Linked DNA regions of Daphnia pulex. The protein of the gene in region 7 purifies or fractionates together with the protein of the main gene of each other region. This does not show direct contact. Links are inferred from orthologs where the notes say so. Each region holds a gene or a part of one and is shown on either strand. Other genes may lie near its edges.

Region 1 (3,464 bases), on a different chromosome or scaffold from region 7:
AATAGAAAAAAACTCTTGTGTGGTTATTTTTAGATATCATCAAGAATTTCGATCGTTAAAATCAGTGAAACTTAACTAGCTTTGCCCAACTACATAAAAACATTTCCAAAATAAATTGTCGGCAGCTTAAGTTACCTCATTTGAGAAGGTGTTGTAGCGCATCGTGTGGCGGCCAGACGGCTGTTGAACCTTACTAGTTACGAGACGCCAAAGGTTCACGCTCGGATGGAAATGACTGCCAGCAGAAATGGCAGATGATAACGTCACAATTCTTTTCCTTAAATCTTTTCTTGTAATTCTAGTAAATGGAGTAGCGGCGTCGAATAGGCGTGTCAAAAGTCAAAGTCGAGTGATCATCACTCTTTTTGGCTAGTAGCTGCAGCTGTTGCGGTCGACCTAAACGTACGTCCCTGTACAAAAATGATTCAGCTGCCTCGAGCGACTTTTTGCTCTTTTGATAACGTGATTCGTTTCTTCCTCCACCTGTCCATCCATTTTTTGAAAAAAAAAAAAATAAAATGTTAAATAAAGAATTTTATTTTTACTTCGTCTTTTGTTTGGTTGTCTTCACACATCCACCAGGCCCCTTTATGTCACGCACCACAGAAGCAGAGAAGCGCGCCGGATTCCTTCCAACACCTTCGCGCTGGAAGTTCGCTCACACCTGATTTTGACACGCACCGTTAACTTTTTCACCTGTGCAAAGAAGCGATGATTGGGAAAGATATAAAAAAAAAATCTTGAGGTAAAAAAAAGTAAATTTCTCTCTTTTTTTTTCTCAAATCTTTTCATCTTTTGTTTTTGTATTCGAAACGGCTCACAAGAAAACATGACGAGATGCAAGACTGGTGTACAAATACTTGATTACTCTTCGCCGTTTTGCTTTTGTTTTTGCTTATTGTTGATTTGGAAATGGATGATGGCAAATGCCACGTCTTTATTTTCACTTCCAAATATCGACGAAAATTTGCAAGTTGAGGGCGAAGGATAAATGGAAAAAAAACAAAATGAATTACGGGGCAATAAACAAAAAATCAAAGTAGGAGAAGAACCGAATGGATGAATAGAAGAGGAGCGTACGCGTCCGTTAAATTTCTACTATTCCAAATCGGGTAAGTCTTCGTCATCCTCGTCCTCTTCGCTACCACCAAGATCGTTCAAGTCCATCTGACCGCCACCTGCGCCGTTCAAACCGCCCATGCGACGCATCATCTAAGAAAAACCACAAGTTTTATTGACACTCTTAAAACGCTACCCTTTTTAATTGTATTAATTTCGACAAAGGTATCAGAATCTCTCACGTACCTCGTCGAGGTCTTGGGATTCTTCACCACCATTTTCCTCTGGCTCGCTATCGTCCTCGTCGCGCCACCTATTAAAGTCGATTTTGAGCCAGTGCACCTTCTTCTTGTCCTTGAAAATGGATGGCCAGTAAGGTCCCTCTTCTTTCTTTCGAAGGAAGAATTCTATGCTGCGCTCTCTGACAAAGTACTTTGATTCCTGCAATGAATAAAATTGGGTGAGTCTGCGACGATGCAAACATGAGCACACTATTAAACTTACAGCTGTGTCAATTTCACCAAATAAATCAATCGTGACTTCAAAAGTTTTCTTATCGGGACCTCCTGTTCCTTTAAAGTAAACTTTTGTTGGCTCAAGGGTGATGACTGGTTCCTTGCAGTCTTCGACATTAATAGTCAAAGACACCAGGTTTTTTCTCTGTGCCCACATGGCAGGAGGAGGTAATAACCTGAAAGATGGAATGAGAAAGATTAATTTTGGACGAGTAAGCACGGGCAATGAGCACATGGAATTGATTTGTTAAAGCATGGTTTTCAACTTTTGATCCTGACAAGCCAAATTCACAATCCATGTTCAAATGTCTTCCATTCAAGAAGCAAATCTCAATAGGAAAAACTATGGCAGAATCTAGAAACAAACACCGGCTTGAAAGCCTTATCAACCCTTCGTTAATGCTCATCACGCCTTCACAACCGATTACCAATTTTTGTGTAAGAAAATTAAACTCACTGTTCTGTAGCCATTTTACTGTGAGGAACGACTTGACGAAATTAAAACGAGAGTGAGAAGTTGTTAAAGTGGATGGTTGGACCTGAATAATCAAGAGGACCTTAATATAAGAAAAACGGGCAAAGCGTCAACTCAACTTTTCTTTTCTCTGGAACAATCCTACACGAGGTGATCGATTTACAACGTTGCCAATTCGGGGTTATTAGTGCCATATTTAAAAAAAGATTATTTATAATTTTATTTCTTTGTGAAAAAAAGCTGCTGCTAAATTATATTTTATCCTTGTATTTTTCTAAATTATATTTCTATTTTCGGAAACTGCTTTTAGCTATTTACCCATGAGAAATCAATAAAACTATTTCATCACGTTTTTCTTTTGAATTGTGGTCAAAATCAATGAGAATATTGAACGAAACATCCGGAAATCTCGAGAAAAAGAATACCCTTTTGGAAACTATCCAACAAAATTAAAGTTACCAAATTTCCCGTGGAAACTCTTAAAATTTTTGTGTTTTGTACGGAAAAAAAACAAACAATCCCACGAAAACATTAAACAAGTTGGCACTCATGCGGTGCTTATACTAATGAACTAAACGTTAAAGGAAATGCTACGAGAATTGAAAAACAATTTTTTTTTAAGATGTTTGTATTTGATTCGTGACCAAGATCAAATTGATATTTTTTGATTCAGTGCCGAAAAATTGTAACAGAACAAAATGTCCAGCCCTGATTCTTTTCTGCTGGTGAGGGATAACGAAAAGAACTTGATCACGTTTATATTTTTGTTAACTTTTATTGCTGCCCACCAACTTTCCACACTCAAGACGTTTTGAAATTGTTGCTGTTGGTGTGTTTGTTGCGTAAAACTTGTTGTGTGTCGACATCTTAATTGTCCATCCCTAAACCCCAATAAACAATAATCATATTGGTTGCTTTATAAGTTTGAACTCGTCTCTTGTCGTGTGTGGTCGTTGATTTTATCTTTTTTTTTTGGCTTTCTTTAACAATGATTCACATGCCGTCCACGAAATCGCGCTCACCGACGTTGATGCGATCCGTCGAAGCAGAAACGCTGAATCCCAACAAACTGGCATCCACTTTCTGCATCTTCTTCTTAGACTTCTTGGATTTAGACTAAAACGGAACATTTTCATTAGTGAAATGGTAGAGACAACGTTTTATCTTTTATTTTTAAATAATTACTTTAACTTCATGGAAGTCAGATGATTGTCCCGGATTTATGGCTTTGGCCGGGATGCACATGTTGTCCTCTTCGTATTGCTGGACGTTTCTTTGCATCTGGCGCCAACGAGAACGTTGATCAAGGAATTGCTTGGCGAACTCTTTGGCGTCTTTGCCCTCGCCAAGATACAAGCGAACATACTCCTGGACTTCAAATGGAGATTCCACGTCCTGTAATAAATGTAATCAAG
Region 2 (3,759 bases), on a different chromosome or scaffold from region 7:
ACTGGACCAAGTTAATTTAAAACAGAATACGAATCGGCAGATTAAGAAAAGAAAAAAAAACATAACATGGGGAATTATTTGTCTTAAAAAAATAAGTGATTTTTTCGTCAGCTGTAGAAGAAATTCGATACATTCACCATCAACCAGAACCCTTCCTCTCGTTTTTACCCTTTCGTTCATATAAAAAAAAACTTGTTTGGTTCAACCTTCATCGTTTGTGTCTAGTTTTGCTCTTTTTCATCCCTTAAATTTTCGTTGTTTTTGAACCATCTGTACACAAAATCGAGCAACGGCTGAGCTGGGTAGTGGTGTGAGAGAATGGCAGAAAAAGAAGCCCATCATTCTTTGATAGAATTAGTATTCTAGATGAATCTGCCGAGTGTGAAAAAAAAAGCAGGAAGAATTTTTTATGTTTGGAGTCGGCCAGTTTTCTTCATTCTATTTTTGAATGTTTTTCTTCATTGTATTCCTCCTCCCCTCCGAACTTTTATCCCATAAATTAGAAAAATCCATCCGTTCGATGACTGAGACACATTCATCTTCGAGCCCTAGAAACAACCAAATTATTTTCAAATTCTTTGTGGTGTGTTATATCCGCCCAACCTCTTTCCTCGATAAAACACAACCAATTTTGTCCACTTAAAAAAAATTAATAGACGTGGACTTCCTCCCTTTCCCGTTTTTTCAATCTTTGTGCATTGATTTTTGGGTCTCGTCTTCTTTCGCGTTTTTCTTTGTGGGTATAATTTTTCGTTCCCCCCATACTGTTGATGCTTTTGCGTTTTCCCCTTTTTTGAGGCTATTTTGTGCAAATCTTTTCCAATTTCGAATTCGATAGGGATCTGGGATAGGGGTTTGATGGTAGCCGAGTCGATTGGATAACACAGACACACAGGAATTATTTTGAATAAATATTCCTCTTAATCATTTGATTCCCACCCGTTTTACAGCGTTTCACATCATTAATTAGTTTTTTGGTTAAAAAAATCCCATGTTTTGTTCGCACAGTGCGGAATATTACTTTTGGGTGTGTGAACCGTTGCCCACTGACCCTTCCGTTATTTTATTTTCTTTTCACATGAAAAGAAATTGTGACTTCCTCTCCTCCCCCTTTTGATGTGTGGCGATTACACAAAATTTTTGTCCTCGAAGACTCTTGATTTTCTTATTACAATAACTTTAAGTGCACACACAAGTTTAACAACACACTGACAAAAATAATAACAGACGGGACTTTATTCAATGACTCGTAACGACATTGAAAAAATGATACACTTCATCACTATCAAACATAGCCACATGTGTGTTGCACGTGGAACACCGTACCGGATGATAAACATCTTCAGACCCACTGAAAGTAGGTTCATCTGACGCCGTCTTCTTGGAACGGTTTTTCTGTGACTGCAGAGGAATTTTCATCACCTCACTCATGTCTACTTGACAATGAAAAGTAAACATAGCCCTGTACTGTGTTTTGATAGTTTCATGCCTACAAGGTTAACATTCAGTCAATACAAGAGATTCAGCAAAGTCTTATGATGTAATTAATTAAAAAGCAGGTCGTATAATTACCTCTGACAGTCATGGCATAAAGTTGTAAAACATGCAGGGCAGTTCAACACCGCATCACTGTTAGGTAAAAGTTTGGGCTTGGCCTGATTCTTGAATTTCTTTCTGTACATGTCTCGCTGCTTTTGTACATAGGATTCATCTTTGAGATCCATTTGAGGATCATAAAATAATTCCATATTAGATTGTGCTTGAGCTGTTGAATCTTCTGTTTCGACATCTTCTTCAGAATCAGTGTCAAAGTAGTGATCTCTTGACTTGCTTTCTGTTTTAACATCACTCCCAAATTTTGTTGGATCTTGAATTTTTTCTTTCTCAAGATAAGTTGCCACACGAAGCTCCAATTCCTTGTTCATTTCAGCCTGAAAATCTTTCAACGACTTTTTTCCCCCAGACTCTGATTGCTTGTAAAATTCTTTCATAACCATTTCATCGTCATCGCTCGAATCGATGCCTCCTTCATCGCTGAACTGTTGGACAATGTAGTCGTCATCTGAATCCATTTTGGAAAAAGAGCTGAAATCGGTGAAAACAAGTATTTTATATACAGCGAAAACTAGCTTCACACTCTTAAAAGTTTTACTCACCGTTATTACACAAGAAACCAATATTGTTTTCATCAACAAGCATTAAACGATGGTCTTACGTACGTATAACTAAGCAAATCAGCATGTGCCCTTCTGTCAATTCTTTGTTGACATCGTTATAACTCGATTCTTTCAGGCGATAGGCCGATAGCTGCCACTGATTTAAAATTTCATTCAAATTGATTTAATGCCTATAAAAAGCTTTAAAAAATCTATCAGGATTTTTAAAAAATAATTTAAAAATAAAAATCATGTAACTTTTCCTGGAATTTTCGATTTCTGTAATAGTTAATTTTTCGCATCGTTGATTGCTTTCGGTCGGTCTGCTTTCACCCCCCAATGGTCCAATCCTCAATCACTTGTGTGAGAAGGACGGCTGGTTGCATTGTGTACAGTGGTGGTACACTGCTAGGTGGGTTAGGAAATAGGACTATTCTTAAATAATTTTAATCGAGAATAGAACTGGTGATATCCTTTAGATTAAAGATTACGTAAAAAAGGGTTATTTTTAACATGTCCGTACGAAAAGCATCCCACGCTGGCAGCTGGTATTCTGATTCGGGTAATATTGACACATCTTTGTTCCTTTGTTTAAATGGAAAAACATCATATTTTAGTTGTTTATCATATTTACCCTTTCCTAGCTAAGGAACTTGGTCGTCAACTCGATGGGTGGCTAGATGCAGCCAATTTCTCACATGGACCAGCAAGGGCTATCATTGCACCGTAAGTTTTTTAAATGATTATTTTTTTTTTACTTCTATCAATAAAATATAAATTTGTGAAAGTCTCTCCTGTGCGAAAATTAACAAAAGCTGTTTATTATTTTACCACAGGCATGCTGGCTATCGTTATTGCGGATCTTGTGCAGGTTTTGCATACAAACAGATTGATCCTACAAATGTGTAAAAATAAGCCTCAAAAATTTTTTTACCTTTTATTTTCCCATCAGTGTGTATGTTGTTGGAACAGGAAACGTGTCTTTATTCTAGGGCCTTCCCATCATGTAAGGCTGTCTGGATGTGCCCTCTCATCTGTAGCCAAATACCGCACTCCATTTTATGATCTCACCATTGATACACAGGGTAAATTTATATTTCACAATTTTGTAAGGGAAAATATTTAGTCTGTATTATTTTTAGTGTATAAAGAACTACAGGGTACTGGCTGCTTTGAGTGGATGAATCTGGAAACAGATGAAGATGAGCATAGCATTGAAATGCATCTGCCTTATATTGCCAAAGTTTTTGAAAAGTATGTGAATTTATTGCAATCAGAATTCTTCACATGCAAATTATTGCAATGTTGTTCATTTTCAAATATCTTGCTGTTTTTTTAGTCACAGAGATTTTACCATTGTCCCAATTTTGGTTGGATCGCTGTCTCCGGAACGTGAAACCCACTACGGAAGACTCCTTTCCAAGTATCTCGCGGACCCCAACAACTGTTTCGTCGTTTCATCGGATTTTTGCCACTGGGGTCAACGATTTCGTTACACCCACTATGACAAAGCATGCGGAGAAATTTTCCAGTCTATCCAAAGGCTAGATCGAGAAGTATAATCGTTTTTCCCTTCTCATTTACTAATATTTACTGTGCCATA
Region 3 (3,909 bases), on a different chromosome or scaffold from region 7:
TTAGCATTTAACAGATATGGCACATTTGACCTGTTAAAGCGTTAAAAAACATTCTTCGTGGAATTTTCCATGTAACTTGTTAAAGCTAGTTCGTTTGATAATATTGATCACCATAGAGGTTCAACATGTATAAAATTCTACGTATTTCACTTACCCCGCCAATTTGGCTTTTCAATGTTCCCCGCGGAGTCGCCGCTGAAGTAAGGACTTCGTTATGCACCATTGATGCGGAAACTGCGTAATGGCATCCTTCAAACTTACTCAACTGTATTATCATCAAATCCGTTGAGAACTCGATGATTGGACATTTTGGTATGTTGGCAAACAATTTAACGATACTCAAATTCATTAGAACTACTTCAAAAAGCCAAAAGAATAAAAATAATGGCCAGACGCGAATTAAAATAGCTTGTACCTTGCCCTTTTGACTCCACATTTGTGCGCATACAACAACTTAGCAAAAAAAAAAGGTATTTTTAAAATCTGGAACAAGGATACGGGCTGGAGGCAAACCGTGACTTGCGTGGGTACGAGTAATTTGACCCCACGAGTCGTTCCGTTTGTATCGACTTAATTTACAAGACGTGCTCAGTGTGAATCCTCGTGTATCTTTCAAATGGCAGCTATAACGCCAAAAGACATGGAAGAACGCAAAGAAGGCGAATACATAAATCCGAAATGTATTAGGAATGGAGCTGGAAATGGAAAAAAAAAAAAAAAGTCCCGTTATACAAACCACCTCCACCGAGCGTTGTGTATCACAGAGGGATAGCAGCGACTGGCTTTTGAGAAATGTGTCAGATTCGAAAAGGTGAGGGACCGAATTTTTTAAAGAAAAAAAAAACCGGAAGTTTTTATCAAAAGACGAATCATAATAATAAATTAAACCTCAAATCACCCAATCGCATGGGTAAGAGGAAATAGGGCGGATGAAAAGACATCGATAATAATTACATAGGGAAAGAGTGAAGAGAAAAAGAGGAGAAAAACAAACGTAAGGTCACAATCTTCAGTCGGTTTGTTTTTTACTGGCTGATACCTGGCTCCGAGAAAGATTCAATTGATTCAACAAAATAGATGCAGGACCAGGACCACCACGCTGCATTGTGTAGGAAGCAAGAAGGGATTCAAGAGCAGCAGAATCAATTTTTACGGGTTGAAAGTTTTCCACATCGCTGAAACTCTCACAACCTTCGCTCATGACGGATTCCTGGAAACGAATTCGATGGCTTATTACCAATTGTTTGTTAATTCCACACACACAAAAATTTACCTTGCGAGTAGGGTTGTCTACGGAAGTACGATGAACATCCGTGGTTAACAATTCTTGATCCATTGTTTGCATGTATTTGTTCATCTCCTTGTCTACCAACTCGTCGCCTTCTTCCTCTTCACTGTAGCTGCTCAAACAAGAAGAATTTGATTCCAAATCCCAATTGTCTTCTGGCAGAGCGAAATCTACAAAAGATTTTTTTTTTATTATTTTCAAAGTCCAACAAATTTACAAGAAATTGACGTACCAAGAATCCCTTGCATTGCGGATGCAAAACTATCTGGATCGAAACCAATGTTGGTAGAAAGTTGGGAAGCGTCAGAGGCGTTTGAGAGCGTTGACGTCTTCCTTGAAGGCGGAGCTAGGTGAGAAAGCTTTCTGGATTTCTTCCTGCCGTTGGCCGGCGTAAGACCTTCATAATCTGACGTCCGATTGAGGAAGGTTTCAAGTTTAGGCAAGATATCGGCCTTGGCCTCGTCATCATCATCGACTCCCAACAAACTAAATTTGTCGCCGAGAATTTGATCAAGGGTGGCAGGATCAACAGATAGCCAGGAGTCATCTGTATTGAATAACAACGAAACATGAGTTGCAGTTCTACCAACGTCTTACAAGTGAAACCTTACCGTCATCCGCAGGTAAATGGGATTCTACTTTCTTGAATTTGTCGACATCGGCACAAACAGATTGCATCAGTCTTAAAATGACAGGTTTCTTTGCCGGTCCTTCTACTCCCACACTATTGATGTAAAATTCTCGAGCTTTTTCCATAAGCTCATTATGTGGTTTAGAACCATCGAGGAAATCCTAAAAGAACAAACAGAAATAAAAACACAAATTACTTTGTAAATTTGACAAAATAACTTTCAGTGAAATTTACCTGGAAAAATCCTTTTTCTTTCAGTGTGTTTAGGAATCGATTCCAACGTGAATCCATGTCCAAAGAATAATCGTCGTCTTTTTGGTGTAAGGATTCCTCGTTAGCCAGTAATTCAAATCCAATAGCCTGAAATGATTTGAAAACATAAATAAATTCAAAACAGAAAAGACAAAATCAGATAAAAGAAATTGCGTACAAGTTTCATGCCAAGGTCTGAACCCGTTCGTTTGGAATCGCCAATCGGTGGTAAAGACCAGCCAGTCCTGTGATCTGGCTGGTAGTTACGGTGAACAAGCATAGCATAAAGACATTTTGTGAATGTCACTGACGTCCATACTCGAGTTTCTGGGGGAAAGAAACGCATGGCGCGGATAACCTACGTTACATAACGGGGGGAACAAAATAATTGATTAAACCTTGCCTTCGGGAGCTCGGGTTTGAGCTGACATTTTAACCAGACACTTTTTAAATACCTGCAGTTGAGAGGCATCGCGCTGACAGAATGCATGAATAGCTGGTGCTACAAGAGTCGGATAGGATTGCAGCAAAGCGGCAACACCAGCAGGCACGAATACATTGCAACGGTGAAGACTGGAATCGATTTGAGATACGCACCTGAATTAGTTGAAAGAAAAAACACACACACAAAAAAAAAACCAGGGGAGTTGTCCCCATTACGAAATGGCCTTAAACTCGAAAACAAAATTAGAAATTTCAAATTTACTTGTCAATGCGCTGGTGGATTGGCTCTTGAATGGGAGCGGGTGCTATGGTCAAGTGCGGCATGGAACGAACAATGTGAACAGCGTCCATCAGAGAAGGCTGGCCTGACGGTAAAGGAGTGATACTAGAGGGACGATCAGCTATACTGATTATATGAACTTGACCACCATGGATAAAAACCTGTAATTTTCAGAGTGATAAAATTATAACTTTGTCAAGGAATTCCAAAAAAAAGAGTTAAGCGAATAAACTTACCCTGTTGATGCAAGTTTCTGGGTTGGCCCAACGCGGAAGACTATCGGCAGCTTCAACCAGCAAGAATTCACCATCTGAATCAACAATTCTGTGATGGGGAGAAGAAGAAAAACAAAACAAACAAACAACAAAACTGGTTAGAATATCAATTGTCTAGACCATCCGGTTAAATCACTAATTCAATTATATCCGCAGAAACGGCGGACCACTGGCGCGATGCTTAGTGTAATTGATTGAAAAAGTTGGAGATGCCAAAAATAGTCGCTTACCAATTCACAAGGTTTTTTTCTAAAATAGATTAACTGCGAGTGCGGCAAAGCCAGCAGTTGCACAATTTAGAGCATGTTGGTGACATGTTGGAATTGGGTAAGTAATCAACGGCGATTCACGAAAACAATTTATCGCTTGTAGGGGACAGGAAAAAGACTTCCTGACGAGAGAGTGCAAGCGAATATAAAAATAGCACAGAGGCGGCGATGTGGCAAAGAAGTGGGGAAAAGAAAAACAGGAGAGATAGAGAGGAGAGAGAGAAATGGAGAGCTCCTGTTGTGTCTACGTGAATGGAAGTTCGGCGGACAACTGAGGACTTCAGGTGGACCCGCACCTTCCTTTAGAGTTGCCTTTGAGTAGTGTGTCCAGGGCCGACTCAAGCGGAGGGAGGGGGGGTAATGGGTGGAGAGGGCGGGCTACGGGAGGTGGGAGGCGATAGGGGGAAGAAAGAGGGAGGTAGGAGAGAGAGAGAGAGAGATAGAAACAACAGCCGACAAGGTCAAACGGA
Region 4 (4,490 bases), on a different chromosome or scaffold from region 7:
TAGTTAATTTATTTTGTAAATCTTTTTGTAGGGTTTCCAGGGCATCAAGAATTTCTTTAATTTCCTCTGGAATGTCCAACTCATAGCAAAGGTTAACCTGGCTTATAGCAGACCTTAAACTTAGTTTTGCAGAACTAGCAAGTTGAAAATTTTCTTTGGATGAATCCTTATTCATCAAGTCTAGACAACTTTCTACGTACTTTCTACACAACCTAAGAGTAAACGTACAAGATTCAATATCCTTTTCCCAGTTCTTTTCCTGGATGGCACTTCGATAGGATTTTTGCATGAGTTGAGCCACTCGAAAGGCCGTCGTTGTTTCCGTACCTCCGTTGCCAGCCAAAAGATCGGCATACACTTCCCAAACTTGTGCGTCATTGGTCACCTGTGAAGTTAAGCGGCCAAAAAGTTTTTGAACAACTGCACCGAGTCGATTGACTTCTTGGCCGTAATTATCTTCTTTGTTCTCCACGATTGCTTGAACCAATATTTTCAGCACTTGAACGTCGACATGTTTTTCTTTCAGTTCAAGGATACGGTTGTACGAACGTATGGCCTATAAATATGATCACTCGATAAAATGTTGTTCAGATGCAACACGATTAAAGGAACTTACTTCTTCATATTCGCAGCAATCGATGGATACGATCATTAGATTGTCCCAAATCTTCCAATTTTCATAGTTACACTTGACAGCTTCTTGCAAAGCTCTCCAAGCCCGAGTTTTCTGGCCCAGTTTGGCATAACATTTGGCTACATTATTCCAAGCCTCAAACGACTAAGAAGATGTGAACGTTGACGATTTATTAATTAATTTTTTGTGAACGTTTAGAGCACATACCTCAGAGTTCAGACCGCAATATCGACGGTATGCAGAGGCGGCAATTTCCCAGTCTTCCATATCCATAGCACAAAAGGCCAATCGAATCCAGATATTTTCCTGTAATCCATTGACTCTCAAGGACTCTTGAAAGTGGGGGATAGCTTCGCGAAGCTATTCAAAGACAAATTTAATGTAAGTCAAAAAGCTTCGTAAAAGTAAATAATAAAAAAATCGGACCTGTTTTTTGTTGTAAAAGTGCATTGCCCAATCTCGTTGAGCTCTAGCGCTCGAGTGCTTGGACAATTCCCATGCTTTTTCGTAATATGTCACATCATCAGTGCAATTTCCAAGTAGACACCACAGCTTGGGTGTTTCACCTTTTGCCAATTCTTGGCGGACAATTTCCTCTGCCTAAATGTTAAATTTTACAAGCTACTGAGGATTTATTGATACAACACGAGTTTACCTTATGTTTTCTGTCGAGTTGTTGGTAACAAGCAATAACACCATCCCACAGCTGGAGACGAATATAAATGTCTAACGCACTGCTGATTGCTCCAAGACTTTTAAGAACTTCGGCCAATTCGCTTTGAAGTTCACACTCGAGCGGAATTCGCGAAACATAAAAATATTCAATTCGACGATGTGCATCAGGGCTGACTTTTGCTAGAGAATCTGCTAGCTCTTGCAACTGAGAAAGAGCTCGTTCAACAGCGCGGCGCTGCGTAGACTCCAACTTGGAGCGCATCACCAAAGAGCTGACATGAAAAGACCAGATTTTTGGATAGCCTAAGATACACTGTAAAACATATTCTTCAACTCAATGTTACTGTAAAAAAAATGGAAATATTTGTCTCACGTTTAGTAAAGGTGATAGTTCTTCTCCAAGAAGGTCATCTTTAGGATGGAATTTTTCAATTTGAGTTCTAAAACAGAATCCATAAATTTAATTTACGCCACTGAACAAAAGTTAGAATTTTCCTTACGCATGAGCAATCAAAAGAGATTGGTACAGAGGAGGAAGATCAGGGAGAATATTGTCATCTTTGTTGATAAAGGCGATGTGATTCAAACGGGTGTCATCCTCTAATCGTACGTCTCTTGGCAGATCACTTGCTCGTTCGGTAGTATCTGTCAGCAGCGCCTCATCCATGTTGAAATGAACTTTGATCGTTAATTGGGGTAGCGGAGTTTGTTGATACTGTGTCCTTTTCCCCATTGCCCCTTTAGTAAACAAACATTTTCAACATATTTGGGGTGTTTTTTATGTTTTAAATTTTGTAACCTACCTGTCCATTCACATCTAAAACCAACAATCTCATTGGCTTTTTCAAAATGAAGTTTGGTTTTTTGCACTTCACCATACAGCAAGTAGGTGTAACCGAGCTCCAACTGCAGCAGAGAGCTGAAAAGCAAGTTACCTCCAAGTGATTCTTCAAGCTGATCAATCTTGCCAATAATGTTTTCAAGGAATGCAGAATGCAGCAATTGGGATGACTCCTCTAAGACTCGTTGGTGGACATATAAATACCTCATAAGCCACCAACCTGAAAGCTTTTCATAAAATACAATGAGAATCAATTTGCTATTCAATTTGTTAAACAACTTTAAATTACCTTGAAGTGCATGAACTGTTCCTTGAAGTCAAATAAGATGGTTTTTGCAGCCAAGAGCAATTGTAGGTCTTTAATGGTGGGAAATAAGCATTCTGCATCAATAATTAAGCATTCTTTGGATGCACTGTCTATCATGTCATCATCAGATGACATTTCCCATTTGTTGCATCCAAGCCAGTTACTTTGAATAAAGCGCTGTAAGGCAGATATCCCAATGCAAAGCAACTGAAATAAACTGAAATAATTGATAATATAAGAATTACTGCTGTTCAATTTATATAATATCAATTCTACCTGGTTTCATCACTTGAATTATCATGGCAAAATCGTTCAACTGCTTCTTTGATTGATGATTGTTGAATACCTGCTCCAAAAATCCTAATTGGACAGTGCTTTAGAACATCTTCAAAGTTTCCTTTTTGGATGTGTTCAATCAGGTCTTTGAGATCTAAAAAATTTTATAGCTGTCAAATCATGTCATTTTTTAACTGAGTACTACACTGTCACATTAATTAAACTCACCATCACATAAATGTGTCAGATCTGTTGATCTAAGTTGAGGATCCAATAGGGATAGCTCTACTTCAAGAGTTACTTGCTTTCGACACACTTCTGGCATTTTCTGTGGGCTTCGAAAAATGTAATCCTAAATGTCGCAGATGAAAGCGCGCTCGAGATTGAAACAACACGTGGGAAATGTCTACTAGCAGACGACGATAATTTTTTCTTAAACAGCGGAATGCGGATGACTGGATCATCTTGCTTCATGATGACTCATTAACCTAGGTTTTCCGAATATATTCATATAGAGCAACTCAATTAAACTCAATTTGAGTTTAATAAGCAATTATAAAGAATCGTTCAAAATTGAAGCTATCAAATGTTGTTTATTGCATCAATGTAAGCGGATTATACAAGGGTGGCATTCGATTTTATGACAAAATACAATTTGAAAACAAATAAAGGCATGGATTGGCAATAGACTTCGTTGTAGCCAATCTACATAAATTCTGCGTAGGAAAAAAAACCAAGGGACGGGAGCTAACAAAAAAAAAGGAGAAGAAACGGCGCTCGTTATCGAATCGCTCGAGACTAGTGGAGCAACGGGAATGCAAAAGGGTCCTGTGGGAGAGCAAAGGGGTAAACCACGTGTGAATTCAAACAACCCAATGTTAGTTTCTGTTGGATTAAAAACTAAACTTAGAAATAGTAGGAAGAAATTTTTTAAAAGCGATTCCCGCAATTATTAAGGCTTTTAAAGACATTGATTTGCATAGGTCAATCGATAGTGATTGAATGAGCTTGAAGAATTTTTTTAGTATGTAACATACTACAATTGTTTTCTTTCAGTTGTTTAAAAAATAAATATAGGGGGCAAAAGGTATACAAATCTATTTGCAACCTCATATAAGTTTTACCCAGTTTTTCCCCTAAAAAAGTAACTTCAGATTATAATTATCTACTAAGAAACGCATCAAAGTGAAACCAGTTTTCGGTTTACAGCCTCAGGACTGGACAAATCAACGGGCAGAGTTGTTCCATTACTTCCTGCGTTACTACGTTGTTGCTGAGTGCCACACGATGGGCTAGGCACAACGGGAGTGAGCCCTGTCCCACCCTCCATGAGCGAGTCAAAGTTGAATCCAGGGATTCCGGATGAAGGTGTAGTGATTGCGATACCGGCGATTTCATGCCAACTAGAATTACGCGGTGGAGCATTTGTAAAGGGGGAAGCGACGGGTAGCGTTGTAGGACGAGGGCGTGGTGCTATGGTAGGTCGGGTGAACTCGATTAAGCCGACGCCGTCTGATGAAGATTCATCGCTTTCGTGACGTTCCTCTTTGATTGGTTGCTGCTGAACGTGGGAGTGTTGTTGTTGTTGCTGCTGTTGTTGGGGTTGCTGGACATTTGGTATCGGCATTAGGTTAGGCATAGCGGGAAGTAGAGGTGCTTTGTTGTTCGACGGATAATGGCCCGTCTTTCTCATCATCTTGCACTGAGGTCTATGAGAATCCAAAAGCTGTTCCAGCTCTTCTTTGTGTTTTTGCAAC
Region 5 (3,909 bases), about 11 Mb from region 7:
GTGAACACGTTAAAGAGGTAGGGAAGTTCCCAAGTTTGCCCAATCTTAGATATTGGAAAGCAATATCCCCCCAAAAAAAAAAAATTTGTTGAAAGGGAAGAGAGAATAATCAACTTAGGCGATGATAATTTACGTGACAAAAAAAGAAATCCCCCTTCAAAAATGATTTAGGAATCCTATTTTAATTTTAAGAAACTTTGAGGAAATATTTTAGCTTTAATTCAAGAGAGAGAAGAAAAATAATTTACTGTTTAGAGGGATCTATTTGCTTACTAGACCCCTGAGAACAAGTTAAACTCAGAGAGAGAGAAAAAGATTCTAATAAATGACTGACCTGCCATAATTAAACACAATTTTCTTTGATAAATGGCGGCAATGATTAAGCAAAAGGAGATAACGAGAGAAAGATTTGAGTGTGATAGAGCGAAACTAACTTAACACTGGTTGGAGAAAACTCCAGTTCGAAGGACCATGTTGGAAATGGAACTCTTGTTGGCGGTGTCGACCGTTCAACTTCCAAGATTGAGATAAGAGATGACACCTTTGTTGTTGCTAGTTCGTCCTTATATTTCACACTGCCGTATAATACAGCATTTTGGTATTTCAATAGTTGGTTTAGGGTTGAGTAGGGTAGGGAACAATAGATTGAATGGGAAGAGAGGGTAAAATTGGGGCCCTCTGTTGAGGTCCCTACAAATTACACAGAATTAACAATAGCAATAATGTCGATCACTGTTGGGATGCAATAAATTCCCAACACGCACGACAATTTCACGTCCGCCAATTTTCATCAAGATAATAACTGATGTATTTTTCTTATCAATTTTTAAAAATTCTACGTTAAATATTTTTCCAACAAAATGAAAATAAGCTGCAGTATTTTTTTCGAATTAATCCAGTCTGGCATCGTGACGTTGTTTAAACGCTTTTGTCGTCTGCTACACATTGATGATGCGGTGGTCTTGACAAAAAGTGCGAAGTTTCTTATGTGATAGCTCATTTCGGATATTATTAAAGGAAAACAAAAGGTAATTAGACGTGAAAAAATTACTAGCAAAACTATAAATGTTCTTGCAACGTGTTTTTACTATTGGGGTGACATTAAAATACCTCATGTTTGATTTAATCGCCAAAAGCTTCTAGAACATAGTCTTCAACTTTGTGAACCATTGGGGCCTATTTTGTTTAGAAAATAACTTGATTGAAGTTTTTAAATTCTTGTCACTAAATTCGTTTTACATGCTGTAGTATATTCAAACTAGATAGGGAAAATTAATTGATTGACACTTAAGGATCTGTAGTTTAACAGTTTATTATCATCTTTTTCGTTTCACCTGTTTAAAACAGCTGTTGATTATTTACAGAATAATCAGAAATGGTCAACGAGGATCGAAGAGACGTTCGCGACGACCGAGATCGCCGCAATAAAGATAGAGAAGGTGATCGAGAGCGAGAAAACAAAGATCGCGAGCGAGAACGTGACAACAAAGATCGTGAAAGGGATCGAGATAACAACAAAGATCGTGACCGTGGCAATAATCGAGACAACAAAGATCTTGCCAGAGATCGTGATCGTGAGAGAAGAGAACGCGAAAGGAAAAGATCACGCAGTCGCTCTCGTAGCCGTGATCGAACAGCAAGACGACGTAGATCCAGATCCAGGTAATGAAATTAACCTTAATTATATTTGTCCATTGATTCATTTGTTTTTGTTAATTAGGTCACCAAGGGACCGTCGAGATCGTAAAGATGTGAAAACCGAACAAGATGCAAAAGACCAGGAAGCAAGTGAAGAAAACACTGAACAGCAAGCGATTAAAAAGGAGCCCCTGTCGCTGGAAGAATTGCTGGCCAAAAAGAAAGCCGAAGAAGAGGAAAAGAGCAAACCCAAGTTTCTCACGAAAGAAGAACGTGCAGCCGAAGCTATGCGAAAGCGACAGGAGGAAGTTGAAAATCTACGCAAACAGCAAGAAGAGGAAAGATCAAAACGGAATGCCTTTTTTCAGGTTTGTATTCATATCCTACATTATTTGTTATTTTAGATTTAACACGACATCTTTTAAAATTGATTTTAGGCGGCTAAAGAGACCAACAGGGAACCAGAACGCGATCGTCGACGTGATCGAGAAAGGGAGCGCGAAAAGGAGACCAAAGATCGTAAAGATGGTGAAACAGACCGCGATAAGCAAAAGGAGATGGATGCCATCAAGGATCGTTACCTGGGCATGGCCAAGAAAAAGCGACGTGTCCGCAGGCTGAACGAACGTAAATTCGTTTTCGAATGGGATGCGGCAGAAGACACTGCCGTCGACTACAACCCAATCTACAAGGAAAGACATCAGGTAAGAAGACCCTTGATATAAATTTTAAAAGGTGAAATTCTAACGTTTTCTTTATTTTGTTGATTAGGTCCAATTTTACGGTCGTGGTCATGTGGCCGGAATTGACATCAAAGCCCAGAAGAAAGACCAGTCGAAATTCTATGGTGACATGTTGGACAAACGCCGGACAGACACTGAAAAGGCCCAGGAGAAGGTCCGTTTGAAGAAGGAACAAAGACGAGAAGACAAGCAGAAATGGGACGACCGTCACTGGCAAGAGAAAAAGGTCGAAGAAATGACTGAGCGTGATTGGCGTATCTTCCGAGAAGATTACAACATCACCATTAAAGGTATGTTACCTAAACTTGTTGATTAATTAATATGTTTAACTTAATGTCTTTTGGTTTTTTTAAGGTGGCAAAATTCCTAATCCGTACCGTTCGTGGGCTGATTCTGATCTCAACAAGGAAACTTTGGAGATTATCGAAAAAGTTGGATACATTGATCCTACTCCCATCCAGCGTCAAGCCATTCCCATTGGTACGTTGCCAATAATTACTTATCTGTTTGAAAAAGTAAACTTATTTCACGTGAATTTTTTTCAGGATTAAAGAACCGAGATATTATCGGTGTGGCTGAAACAGGATCAGGAAAAACCGCCGCATTCTTAATCCCCTTACTCGTATGGATTCAGTCGCTTCCCAAGAACGTCCGCCTGGGTGACGATGATTCGGGACCCTACGCCATCATTTTGGCTCCTACTCGTGAGTTGGCTCAGCAGATCGAAGAAGAATGCATCAAATTCGGTCAGCATTTGGGCATCCGAACGGTTGCCGTCATCGGTGGTCTATCCAGGGAGGAGCAAGGCTTCAGACTGCGAATGGGTTGCGAGGTAATTTCTCTTATCCTATCCCAGTTTATTCATTTCATTGACTTTTTTACTTTTAACAGATCGTGATTGCCACTCCCGGTCGTCTGATTGACGTTTTGGAGAACAGATACTTGGTGCTGTCACAGTGCACGTACATTGTGCTGGACGAAGCTGATCGCATGATTGACATGGGTTTCGAACCCGACGTGCAAAAGATTCTGGAACACATGCCAGTCACAAATCAGAAGCCGGACAACGACGACGCTGAAGACGAGCAAAAGCTGATGGCCAATTTCAATTCCAAGAATAAATTCCGACAGGTATTGGTTTGGTTAATTCTAAACGTCAGACTGGTTTATTTACCTCATTTTTTATTTCCTTTTTGCAGACTGTTATGTTTACGGCAACCATGCCTTCGGCGGTGGAGCGATTGGCTCGAACTTACCTGAGACGTCCGGCTGTGGTCTACATCGGCTCGGCCGGCAAACCTGTGGAACGGACGGAGCAAATCGTCTACATGGTTGAAGAGAACGCCAAGCGCAACAAGTTGATGGAAATTCTGCGCCGCGGAAAACTCGAACCTCCCATCATCATTTTCGTCAACCAAAAGAAGGGAGCAGATGTACTGGCCAAGGGCCTGGAGAAATTTGGCGTAAGGCATTTTAATTTAAAAATTTTGTCTAGTTGAATTCATTTAAGGTGTTTATTTATTCTTTC
Region 6 (3,469 bases), on a different chromosome or scaffold from region 7:
CTCCCTCTTCAACTGAAGCAAACCAAACAGTTACTTATGACTATGAAAAAATCATCGATTACCCTGGCTTCAACGTTCCTGTTGATCGACGAGTCCGTGACGTAAGTGGAACCCATTTTGCTTTTATAATACAGTGTAAATTTTTTTAACGCTAATCAACCGCAGGATTGGCGCTATTTAAACTTTCCTCCAATGCAAGAGCACAATTCCAAAGAAGCTCTCATCGCCAATTTAAAGATGCACAGTAAAACTCAAAAGAATTCTAGTGAAGAAACGAATTTGGTTTGTTGCTAGATAAAATCGTTGAAATGTTGTCAAATAAGTTAAAATTCCTTATTTTAGGAAATCGTTGACATGGATACATCCATAGAAGACCTTGAAGAAAAGCGCCAGGCATTGCTTGCTGAGTTGGGAGATGAAGACGATGACTGTGTTATTGAAGAAAATTTTGAAGGGAGTGAAACCACTAACCCAACCAACACAACAACTGGCATCGTTACTGGGGACACATTGAAAGAGAGTGGATCTCCCAACCTAACCAACGAGGTTCAGGAAATGGATATTGCTGCAGTGACGATTCCTACCTCGTCAATATCAGATCTACCTCTAAATATTGAGTCACCAATCAACAATCAAGACTTGTCACCGAAAAAGAGCAAGCTCTTGGCAATGGGAACTCCTGTCTCTATACGATATTCACCTTATAATATCCTACCTTCACGAGACAAGTTTGCGCAAAATGGGAAACTTGGGACCATGGGTGAACTTGAACTATACGAAAATCTTCCAAATAGTACGGGCGCTTTTCAAAAGATGCGATCTTTACTTCAAAAGGCGAAGCAAATGTTTAATAGGAAATAAATGGCACTGAAAAATCGTTTATTTGAAAAATGTATGTATTTTTTTGAAAAATTAAGACTTTCATCATCTTCGGAACTGTCGCCGGAACTTTTCGAAATAAAAGTCGTCGCTTGCCTTATCATGCTCTTTTTTCCCACCGACATTGTCTAACCTTTTAGGTAACTCTACAGGGACGGCTGGTTTGACAGAAGCTTCAGCACGTTTCTTACGTGGGGGGCCAGATTCTTCAATATTAACTAAAAATATGTAAAAATATGATTAGAAATTTTTAATTAAGTATAGATCAATAATAGAAAGGTACATCTGTTATGCTGGACAAAATTAACGGCCATGTTAGTCGGAACAAACATTGAAGGACCATCTTTTTTACGAAGTCTTTCTTGAAGCAGCTTCTGTTTTGCTTCTTCAGTTGCTTCAATATTCTTAATTTTGGCCCTTTAATAAAATAATTATGAAAGTCATTGTAAAAATTTTTAATATAAAAATGTTTTAGACTGGCATACTCTATTCCTAGATCTACTTCCGGAATTCCGCTAAGCATCTGGTTGGATAACATTTCTTCAGATTGGACACTAGATTTCACTCTCAGATATTCAGGTACTGACGAAAAAGCAATTTCTTCAGGAGTCAGGTATTTATTACTTTTATCTTCATCCTCTTGCATTAGACCTTTCCTTTTTGCAAGTTGCTCCTCAATATACTTCATCCTAAAAAGAATAAACATTTTATAACTGAATTGCAAGAGTTGTAAATGAATAATATTTACACACATTTCTGCATCTTCATCTCGAGTGTTGGTTTCCACGGAAAACTGTGTACCAATTCCAGTTTCATATGCATCATCAGCAGATGAACTATTTTGCTTTCCAGCTTTAACTGCCTTCATATCAGCCATTCCACCAGTTGTAACTTTGAAGGGATCATTCTTTACTTAAACAAGTAAACTAGTTAATGCATGATCTTGTATAAATTTCTATATACACTGCCTTACCACTGTAACTTCCTCTTCAACAGTTATTCGCTTGCCAATTGCCAATGCCACAGCACTAATACCGTGGGGTCTCTCTCTTAACTTTTGTAACTCTTTTGTCTCTTCCAGCTTTAACCTAGAAAATTAGGAAATTAAATATGACAATACATTTTAAATTATATTATTTATAAGAATGTGCATACAACACGTCGAGCTCATCACTGCCACCAGCATCATCGTCCTCTTCAATTTCGAGACGTTTTCTCATAGGTTTTCTACTTGGTTTCTTGAATTTAAATGTTAGAGAAGCTTCTCCCGAATTATCACCAATTTCTTCCATATTTTTTTACGATTTGTTTAATTGTTCTGTAACTTAAAAAGGCGTCCCGTTCTTTTAGACAAAAACAAAACAGAAGCAGTACAGTGACATACAACCTTGACAGATTGCCGATATATGGGAAATTCGGAATCGTATTTGAGTAATTCTTCAACTTGACCAGAGTGATAGGTATAAAAATATTTTTATTCTTAAATATTTAAATAGAATTATTCTCAAATTAATGAGTCATTAAATGAAGGAATAAACTGACAAAAACTGGCAACAGTTAGAGCTTACTCCATCTCACGGTGTCATGCAAATGGCGACCATTGTTGTGCATTTCAATTTAGAATATTTACCTAAACATGCTGAGTTTGTTGGAGTGGGATTGGAATAAGAGTCTTCATTAAACTTACTGTCTTTTCGTTTTATTTATTAGAAAATAGCATTATAGAGTTTCCTCAATGTTTTTGTTAGTCAAGCACAGATTTCAGCTTTTGCTTCTTTCTAAGTGTTAAAAAATCATTCCTTCCTGAAGCCTGAAATGAATCTTTTGATAGCACAAATTGAGTAACCAATATAAGTATAATATTATATTATCACCTTATTTATACATTTTTCGACAGAATTTTGCGGAATTTTTCGTAATATTTGTTCTTTTCATTTTGCTTTTTTCCTATTGCTATGTTTAAGGGGGCACTGGAAGGATAACGTTGCTTGAACCTAATCACCTCCTACTCTTTTTGAATTTCTAGAAGAACTCTTCCGCTTGATCCTAAACCAAAGACGTGTACTTCACTGTGATCAGACTCTCTTGCCTTGACTGCAAGATACTCGGTGAATCTCCGCCTGCCGTAAGCATCCTGGCTTCCTGGAAACCTTTTCATCTTCTAAGATGAAGAATTTTCACGATTGCACTATTGTGGAATCCTCGAGTCGTCAAACATTGCATGAAGCTCAGAGTTGTGTATGTCTCTCTTGCTGCAATGTTTCTTGCATATGGATTGGAATACCACTCCTGTAGATGGGATGTCTATAGTTTCATGAGCAGGAGGTGTTGGTGTGCCAACCCATCAGGAAGATCAGAATTATCTTCTTCTCCCTTAAGGAAATGTAAGTTTTTTCGGTTTTGTAATTTGTGCGTTTTGTTGATGTAATTAATTATATAAGAACGTAAATGCGTGGTTATTTAAAGTTTTAGTTGGGATTTAGAGTTATTTTCCGCTGTCTAACTATCCATAAAAAGGTCTATAAGAGCCTGAAAATGAAGACAACGTTAAGGACATTGTAAAATTAAGGTCCTCTTTACATCAGGCGGC
Region 7 (3,971 bases):
AGCAACATCATTGGCCAATGGATCATCGGGATTGGGCGCACTCAATAGAGCTTGAATCGACAACAGCACTGTCCGAATTTGCAAAGCTGGACTCCATTTATCTGAAAATATTAGAAAATATTAAACAAAGCCAAATCCACACACTTAAGTTTTTCAAGCAAATGCAACTTTCTGAAGTTAAAACTGATTTTTTCCCCAGTTACTTAAAAATTCAAAGCACAAATGTCATAACAATACAGGTATACCCTGATAACCAAAACACAAGATTATACATGCATAGAACACATAACACTTGACAATCTTGATAGAGCAAACACTAAAGTAATAAAAATAATCACCTTTCAGAATATCAAGACAAATTCGGCCAAGTTTATCAATATTAGGGTGATAAATCTTTGTCATGAATCGCACTTTAGGTGCAGACATTGGGTACTCTTCAGGCAAAAATAGTTCCAATTTGAAAACACCACCTTCAAATGGAGAACCTTCTGGACCTATGAATTTTAATCAATATGAACTAGTCAGTACCAGAATGACACTTTAAGGTTGCAATTTAAGTTTACAGACCTGCAACCACAACATGGAAATAACGAGCATTTTGTTCATCTGGAACTGCACTAATGCCTGGGACAGGCTCAGCCATCAAACGTTGAGTTTCCTATTGATCAAATTAATGACGAATATACTATATTGCTAGAGAATACTACCGGTCCCATAATAGGATCGGGAGAAAAAAACACGTTGCCTCCCACTTTGATGCAAGTCTACAATTAAGATTTGTGTTACCTTGATTATCCTTCTAGGTAAGCCTGCCATTTCGCATCAATTTGTTGAACAAACAACGAGTATAAAATAAGATTTTCGTATAATAGATGGTAACTTTAAAGCCAAATAGAGAAGACGGAAAGTTTTCACGCTATACGAGTGCCCTATTGCTAATTTAAGACGTTGTCAAATTGTTTGGTGACGAAAATCGGTAGGAGATCGACCCGGCCACACGGGAAGAATTAGACATATAAACATATTATTTTTCAAATTAAGACGATTTATTTAAAATGAACAAAGTTTATTTGAATTGGTTTACAAACGGAAATACACGAGAAAGCTAAACAAAAGGTATTGCTTTTCAAATGCCGGAAATGAGTTTAAACCTTTATTTCAGAACCGTAGAAAATGACCAGTAAAAATTTTTTGGTTAGATTAATTGGCTGTTCTGTTTGCGGAATATTTTAATTATTTTCATGAATCATCTAGAAAGAATTTCGACTTGAAAGTTGAAATAAATTGAAAAAGGGCAAATTAACTAATAAGGCATGATTAAGATTGAATGGCAGGCTTCAACACATAAAATTTTTTATTTTATCACTTTCTTCTCCTATCCTTCTTCATGTTAATTTTATTCCCTTTTTTTATGCAAAATTGCTAGAATTTAACTCGGCAAGTCGGCATCCGGTACTGATCTGACGTCTGACCTCCATGTTGTTTGTTTTTAAACTGTCGTCTGCTAGTATTGTTCGTTCATTGCTTTTGCGTGGTTTCATTCACTCAGCTTCATTCTGTTTTAAAATATAAACCATCAAGTGTCAAACACGGAAAGAATGGATCAAAAATTGGCTAACAAATTATTTGAAGAGGGCGCGTTTTTATTTCTTCTTGGCGTACCAATTGGGACTGAAGTAGGAATAGATTTCAACAGTTGGAGAACCGGCGAAAAATTCAAAGGCATAAAAATGATACCCCCTGGAATTCACTATATTTATTACAGGCAAATAAGTTATTTTTTGTTAGAACAGTTGTGTGAGTGTAACATTCACTGTGAGGTACAAAATGTGATTGTATATTTTTATATAATTTCTAGCTCTGTAAGCAAGGAAGGTTCCGTAGCGCCAAGAACAGGTTTCTTTTACAACTTCAATAAGAAGGAAGTTGTGGTCCGTAAGTGGAACCCAGAAATAGAAGATGTCATCAACGATTGTAATTTTATTTTATAAATCATTATTTAATATTAATTTATTATTTAGTGTTTATCCATAATAGGTACTGATGAAGAAAGAGAAAGTTTAAAAGCCAATTTAAAAAATCTTGATCAGCACTTGGGTCCATATCCATTTGATACCTGGAAGAAATGGATGTCTCTCAGCAGTAAATTGACAAGTATATTTTCTTATACATTATGTAATCTGTACAAAAATAAAATGTCTAACAATTAATATTTAGCTGATGTAGTTGGGAAAGTGGAACCCCTTCAGCAAAAGATTTCATCAGTTACAGAATTAATTTCATCAGAAGATGTACCAGCACCAGCAGAATCTCCAGTGAAAGAAAAAAGAATAAAGAGGTCAAATTATGAAGATGAATTACTACCGCACATGCAACCAAAGCCAGGCACAGCGTTAAATTTTACCAAAGTCCCTGTTGATTTCTATCCAGTAGGATCAAGTGCCATGGAAATCACTAAACATAGCATTGACACATCTTATTTACTGGAACAAATGCTGTCAACTTGGGAAAGGTCGGCATTTTTTTAATATTTATTTTTCGGAACGTAAAAAATACCAAATAGTTTGCTGTATTTAATAATAAATTATTTTCTTGTTTAGACCCAATCAAATGCTTGCTGAACTTCAAATGGCGTTTTTGTGTTTTTTGATAGGACAAGTTTACAGTGCTTTTGAACACTGGAAGAACGTGATTCGTATTTTTTGTTTTGCTGATGAGATTCTGTTGAAAAATCCATCATTAATTGTGGAGTTCATTGGGGATATCTATTTTCAGGTGATGACATTAGAAAACACAATTTTCAACTAAAATTATTAATTAAAATATATTGTTTTTTAGATGCAAGAAGTATCTCCAGATTTTTTTGTTGACATAATCTCATCAGAAAACTTCCTCATTCAAACTTTAAGAGTTTTGTTTGGAAATATTTTGGAAAATGATGCTGTTGACAGACAGCTTAAAAGAAGAGCCTCACAGTTGAAGCAATTTGTAACACAGAGGTTTCAATGGGATTTTGATGTTGAACCAAATGATGAAGCACCAGTACTAGTTGAGTTGGATGAAAGTATGTAATAATATTAAGAGAAAATTGATACTTCAACCACTTCAACCATGATATACTGTACACAAATTTCCTCAATTCCTCAATACATGTGTAATGTGTTTACAAGCTGAAAACCAGTAGTAATAATAACTAAATATATGAAAAACTACTAAAGAGATGGGCAGTAACTACCACATGGTAGATTGCTTGTTCAGTTGCTTTTCTTTCCAACAATTAGTGGGCCAACATTATCACCAGTCTCTGTATTATGCTTGTTGTGTGAACCATCACAGTAGGGAAACTAGGAAAGGATAAAAGTTATATAAGATAAATTAATTTGATCCATAATAAGTTCCTTACCGAAGCACTACGCCAGCATCGGCAGAATACTTTCTTGTCCCCTATGTCTTCTAAGTCAAAAGTGTCAACTACTTTTGAATCACCCTTTTTAATACTCTGATTAACCACACTGCCCTGTATAAAGAATTGTATAAGAAATTAAACTTCAGATTATTATCTTCTAAAGTCAAAATATATTGAGAATCCATACCTTTTTATCACACTTCTTTTTACAAAATCCAGTGCCTGTTACTTTGGCATAGATGAAAAGTGATATACCAACAGCAGCAACCCCAAGAGATGCTGAGCATACCAAATCTCGAACTGAAATTTAAATACAAAAGATAAGATAAATAAAAATCTCATTTTATGTACAAATTTTTATGTAAGTCTTAAACACTAAACATTCTTACTTCCTAAAGGACTACTAAAGATATTTGAGATGTAATCCATTATATAAATAAAAGATAGACTGAGCGACAATCAGAGTATCAGACACAGAGACACAGACTATGGCATAGACAGCTATCAAGTCGTTTCAAAGCAGTCAAACGTCAAAAATCTAAGGAAAGAAGAGGTTTACCTGATA

Evidence for each region.
Region 1: the proteins of protein AAR2 homolog (region 7) and co-chaperone protein daf-41-like purify together in Homo sapiens (affinity purification with mass spectrometry; 3 studies listed by BioGRID and IntAct, with this or other methods). This does not show direct contact. The link is inferred for Daphnia pulex from reciprocal best matches to the Homo sapiens genes AAR2 and PTGES3.
Region 2: the proteins of protein AAR2 homolog (region 7) and E2F-associated phosphoprotein-like purify together in Homo sapiens (affinity purification with mass spectrometry; 4 studies listed by BioGRID and IntAct, counting the BioPlex papers as one, with this or other methods). This does not show direct contact. The link is inferred for Daphnia pulex from reciprocal best matches to the Homo sapiens genes AAR2 and EAPP.
Region 3: the proteins of protein AAR2 homolog (region 7) and protein ecdysoneless-like purify together in Homo sapiens (affinity purification with mass spectrometry; 3 studies listed by BioGRID and IntAct, counting the BioPlex papers as one, with this or other methods). This does not show direct contact. The link is inferred for Daphnia pulex from reciprocal best matches to the Homo sapiens genes AAR2 and ECD.
Region 4: the proteins of protein AAR2 homolog (region 7) and tetratricopeptide repeat protein 27-like purify together in Homo sapiens (affinity purification with mass spectrometry; 3 studies listed by BioGRID and IntAct, with this or other methods). This does not show direct contact. The link is inferred for Daphnia pulex from reciprocal best matches to the Homo sapiens genes AAR2 and TTC27.
Region 5: the proteins of protein AAR2 homolog (region 7) and probable ATP-dependent RNA helicase DDX23 purify together in Homo sapiens (affinity purification with mass spectrometry; 3 studies listed by BioGRID and IntAct, counting the BioPlex papers as one, with this or other methods). This does not show direct contact. The link is inferred for Daphnia pulex from reciprocal best matches to the Homo sapiens genes AAR2 and DDX23.
Region 6: the proteins of protein AAR2 homolog (region 7) and telomere length and silencing protein 1 homolog purify together in Homo sapiens (affinity purification with mass spectrometry; 3 studies listed by BioGRID and IntAct, with this or other methods). This does not show direct contact. The link is inferred for Daphnia pulex from reciprocal best matches to the Homo sapiens genes AAR2 and C9orf78.

Annotation. Positions count from the first base shown.
Region 1 is NC_060018.1:13,104,479-13,107,942, reverse strand, and holds co-chaperone protein daf-41-like, read right to left. Parts: upstream 2,211-3,464; 5' UTR 2,046-2,210; coding exon 2,032-2,045; intron 1,751-2,031; coding exon 1,564-1,750; intron 1,501-1,563; coding exon 1,306-1,500; intron 1,213-1,305; coding exon 1,099-1,212; 3' UTR 784-1,098; downstream 1-783. Other genes in the region: GRB10-interacting GYF protein 2-like, read right to left, coding at 3,043-3,165, 3,235-3,444. UniProt on the Homo sapiens protein: Cytosolic prostaglandin synthase that catalyzes the oxidoreduction of prostaglandin endoperoxide H2 (PGH2) to prostaglandin E2 (PGE2).
Region 2 is NC_060018.1:7,627,759-7,631,517, forward strand, and holds E2F-associated phosphoprotein-like, read right to left. Parts: upstream 2,302-3,759; 5' UTR 2,157-2,301; intron 2,086-2,156; 5' UTR 2,073-2,085; coding exon 1,573-2,072; intron 1,490-1,572; coding exon 1,240-1,489; 3' UTR 803-1,239; downstream 1-802. Other genes in the region: protein MEMO1-like, read left to right, coding at 2,670-2,718, 2,801-2,882, 2,993-3,061, 3,129-3,241, 3,299-3,410, 3,496-3,712. UniProt on the Homo sapiens protein: May play an important role in the fine-tuning of both major E2F1 activities, the regulation of the cell-cycle and the induction of apoptosis. Promotes S-phase entry, and inhibits p14(ARP) expression.
Region 3 is NC_060018.1:5,231,125-5,235,033, reverse strand, and holds the end of protein ecdysoneless-like, read right to left. Parts: intron 3,220-3,909; coding exon 3,132-3,219; intron 3,057-3,131; coding exon 2,878-3,056; intron 2,769-2,877; coding exon 2,627-2,768; intron 2,530-2,626; coding exon 2,350-2,529; intron 2,280-2,349; coding exon 2,154-2,279; intron 2,081-2,153; coding exon 1,900-2,080; intron 1,836-1,899; coding exon 1,521-1,835; intron 1,459-1,520; coding exon 1,274-1,458; intron 1,211-1,273; coding exon 1,010-1,210; 3' UTR 589-1,009; downstream 1-588. UniProt on the Homo sapiens protein: Regulator of p53/TP53 stability and function. Inhibits MDM2-mediated degradation of p53/TP53 possibly by cooperating in part with TXNIP. May be involved transcriptional regulation. In vitro has intrinsic transactivation activity enhanced by EP300.
Region 4 is NC_060020.1:292,990-297,479, forward strand, and holds the start of tetratricopeptide repeat protein 27-like, read right to left. Parts: upstream 3,164-4,490; 5' UTR 3,059-3,163; coding exon 2,962-3,058; intron 2,888-2,961; coding exon 2,734-2,887; intron 2,675-2,733; coding exon 2,440-2,674; intron 2,378-2,439; coding exon 2,113-2,377; intron 2,048-2,112; coding exon 1,810-2,047; intron 1,750-1,809; coding exon 1,683-1,749; intron 1,623-1,682; coding exon 1,290-1,622; intron 1,235-1,289; coding exon 1,061-1,234; intron 995-1,060; coding exon 842-994; intron 779-841; coding exon 617-778; intron 557-616; coding exon 1-556. Other genes in the region: transcription factor kayak-like, read right to left, coding at 3,914-4,490.
Region 5 is NC_060019.1:355,830-359,738, forward strand, and holds part of probable ATP-dependent RNA helicase DDX23, read left to right. Parts: intron 1-921; exon of another isoform or gene 922-1,028; intron 1,029-1,347; exon of another isoform or gene 1,348-1,364; 5' UTR 1,365-1,375; coding exon 1,376-1,662; intron 1,663-1,720; coding exon 1,721-2,006; intron 2,007-2,075; coding exon 2,076-2,342; intron 2,343-2,409; coding exon 2,410-2,671; intron 2,672-2,735; coding exon 2,736-2,861; intron 2,862-2,926; coding exon 2,927-3,213; intron 3,214-3,272; coding exon 3,273-3,512; intron 3,513-3,580; coding exon 3,581-3,844; intron 3,845-3,909. UniProt on the Homo sapiens protein: Involved in pre-mRNA splicing and its phosphorylated form (by SRPK2) is required for spliceosomal B complex formation.
Region 6 is NC_060023.1:10,023,996-10,027,464, forward strand, and holds telomere length and silencing protein 1 homolog, read right to left. Parts: upstream 2,268-3,469; 5' UTR 2,172-2,267; coding exon 2,035-2,171; intron 1,968-2,034; coding exon 1,853-1,967; intron 1,787-1,852; coding exon 1,632-1,786; intron 1,569-1,631; coding exon 1,365-1,568; intron 1,297-1,364; coding exon 1,163-1,296; intron 1,098-1,162; coding exon 925-1,097; 3' UTR 884-924; downstream 1-883. Other genes in the region: zinc finger CCHC domain-containing protein 8 homolog, read left to right, coding at 1-101, 166-282, 343-861. UniProt on the Homo sapiens protein: Plays a role in pre-mRNA splicing by promoting usage of the upstream 3'-splice site at alternative NAGNAG splice sites; these are sites featuring alternative acceptor motifs separated by only a few nucleotides. May also modulate exon inclusion events.
Region 7 is NC_060019.1:11,511,458-11,515,428, reverse strand, and holds protein AAR2 homolog, read left to right. Parts: upstream 1-1,476; 5' UTR 1,477-1,598; coding exon 1,599-1,765; intron 1,766-1,858; coding exon 1,859-1,974; intron 1,975-2,037; coding exon 2,038-2,154; intron 2,155-2,217; coding exon 2,218-2,512; intron 2,513-2,600; coding exon 2,601-2,775; intron 2,776-2,838; coding exon 2,839-3,072; 3' UTR 3,073-3,177; downstream 3,178-3,971. Other genes in the region: ubiquitin-conjugating enzyme E2 N, read right to left, coding at 1-101, 339-494, 568-658, 787-816; CDGSH iron-sulfur domain-containing protein 1-like, read right to left, coding at 3,255-3,344, 3,404-3,517, 3,594-3,706, 3,796-3,835. UniProt on the Homo sapiens protein: Component of the U5 snRNP complex that is required for spliceosome assembly and for pre-mRNA splicing.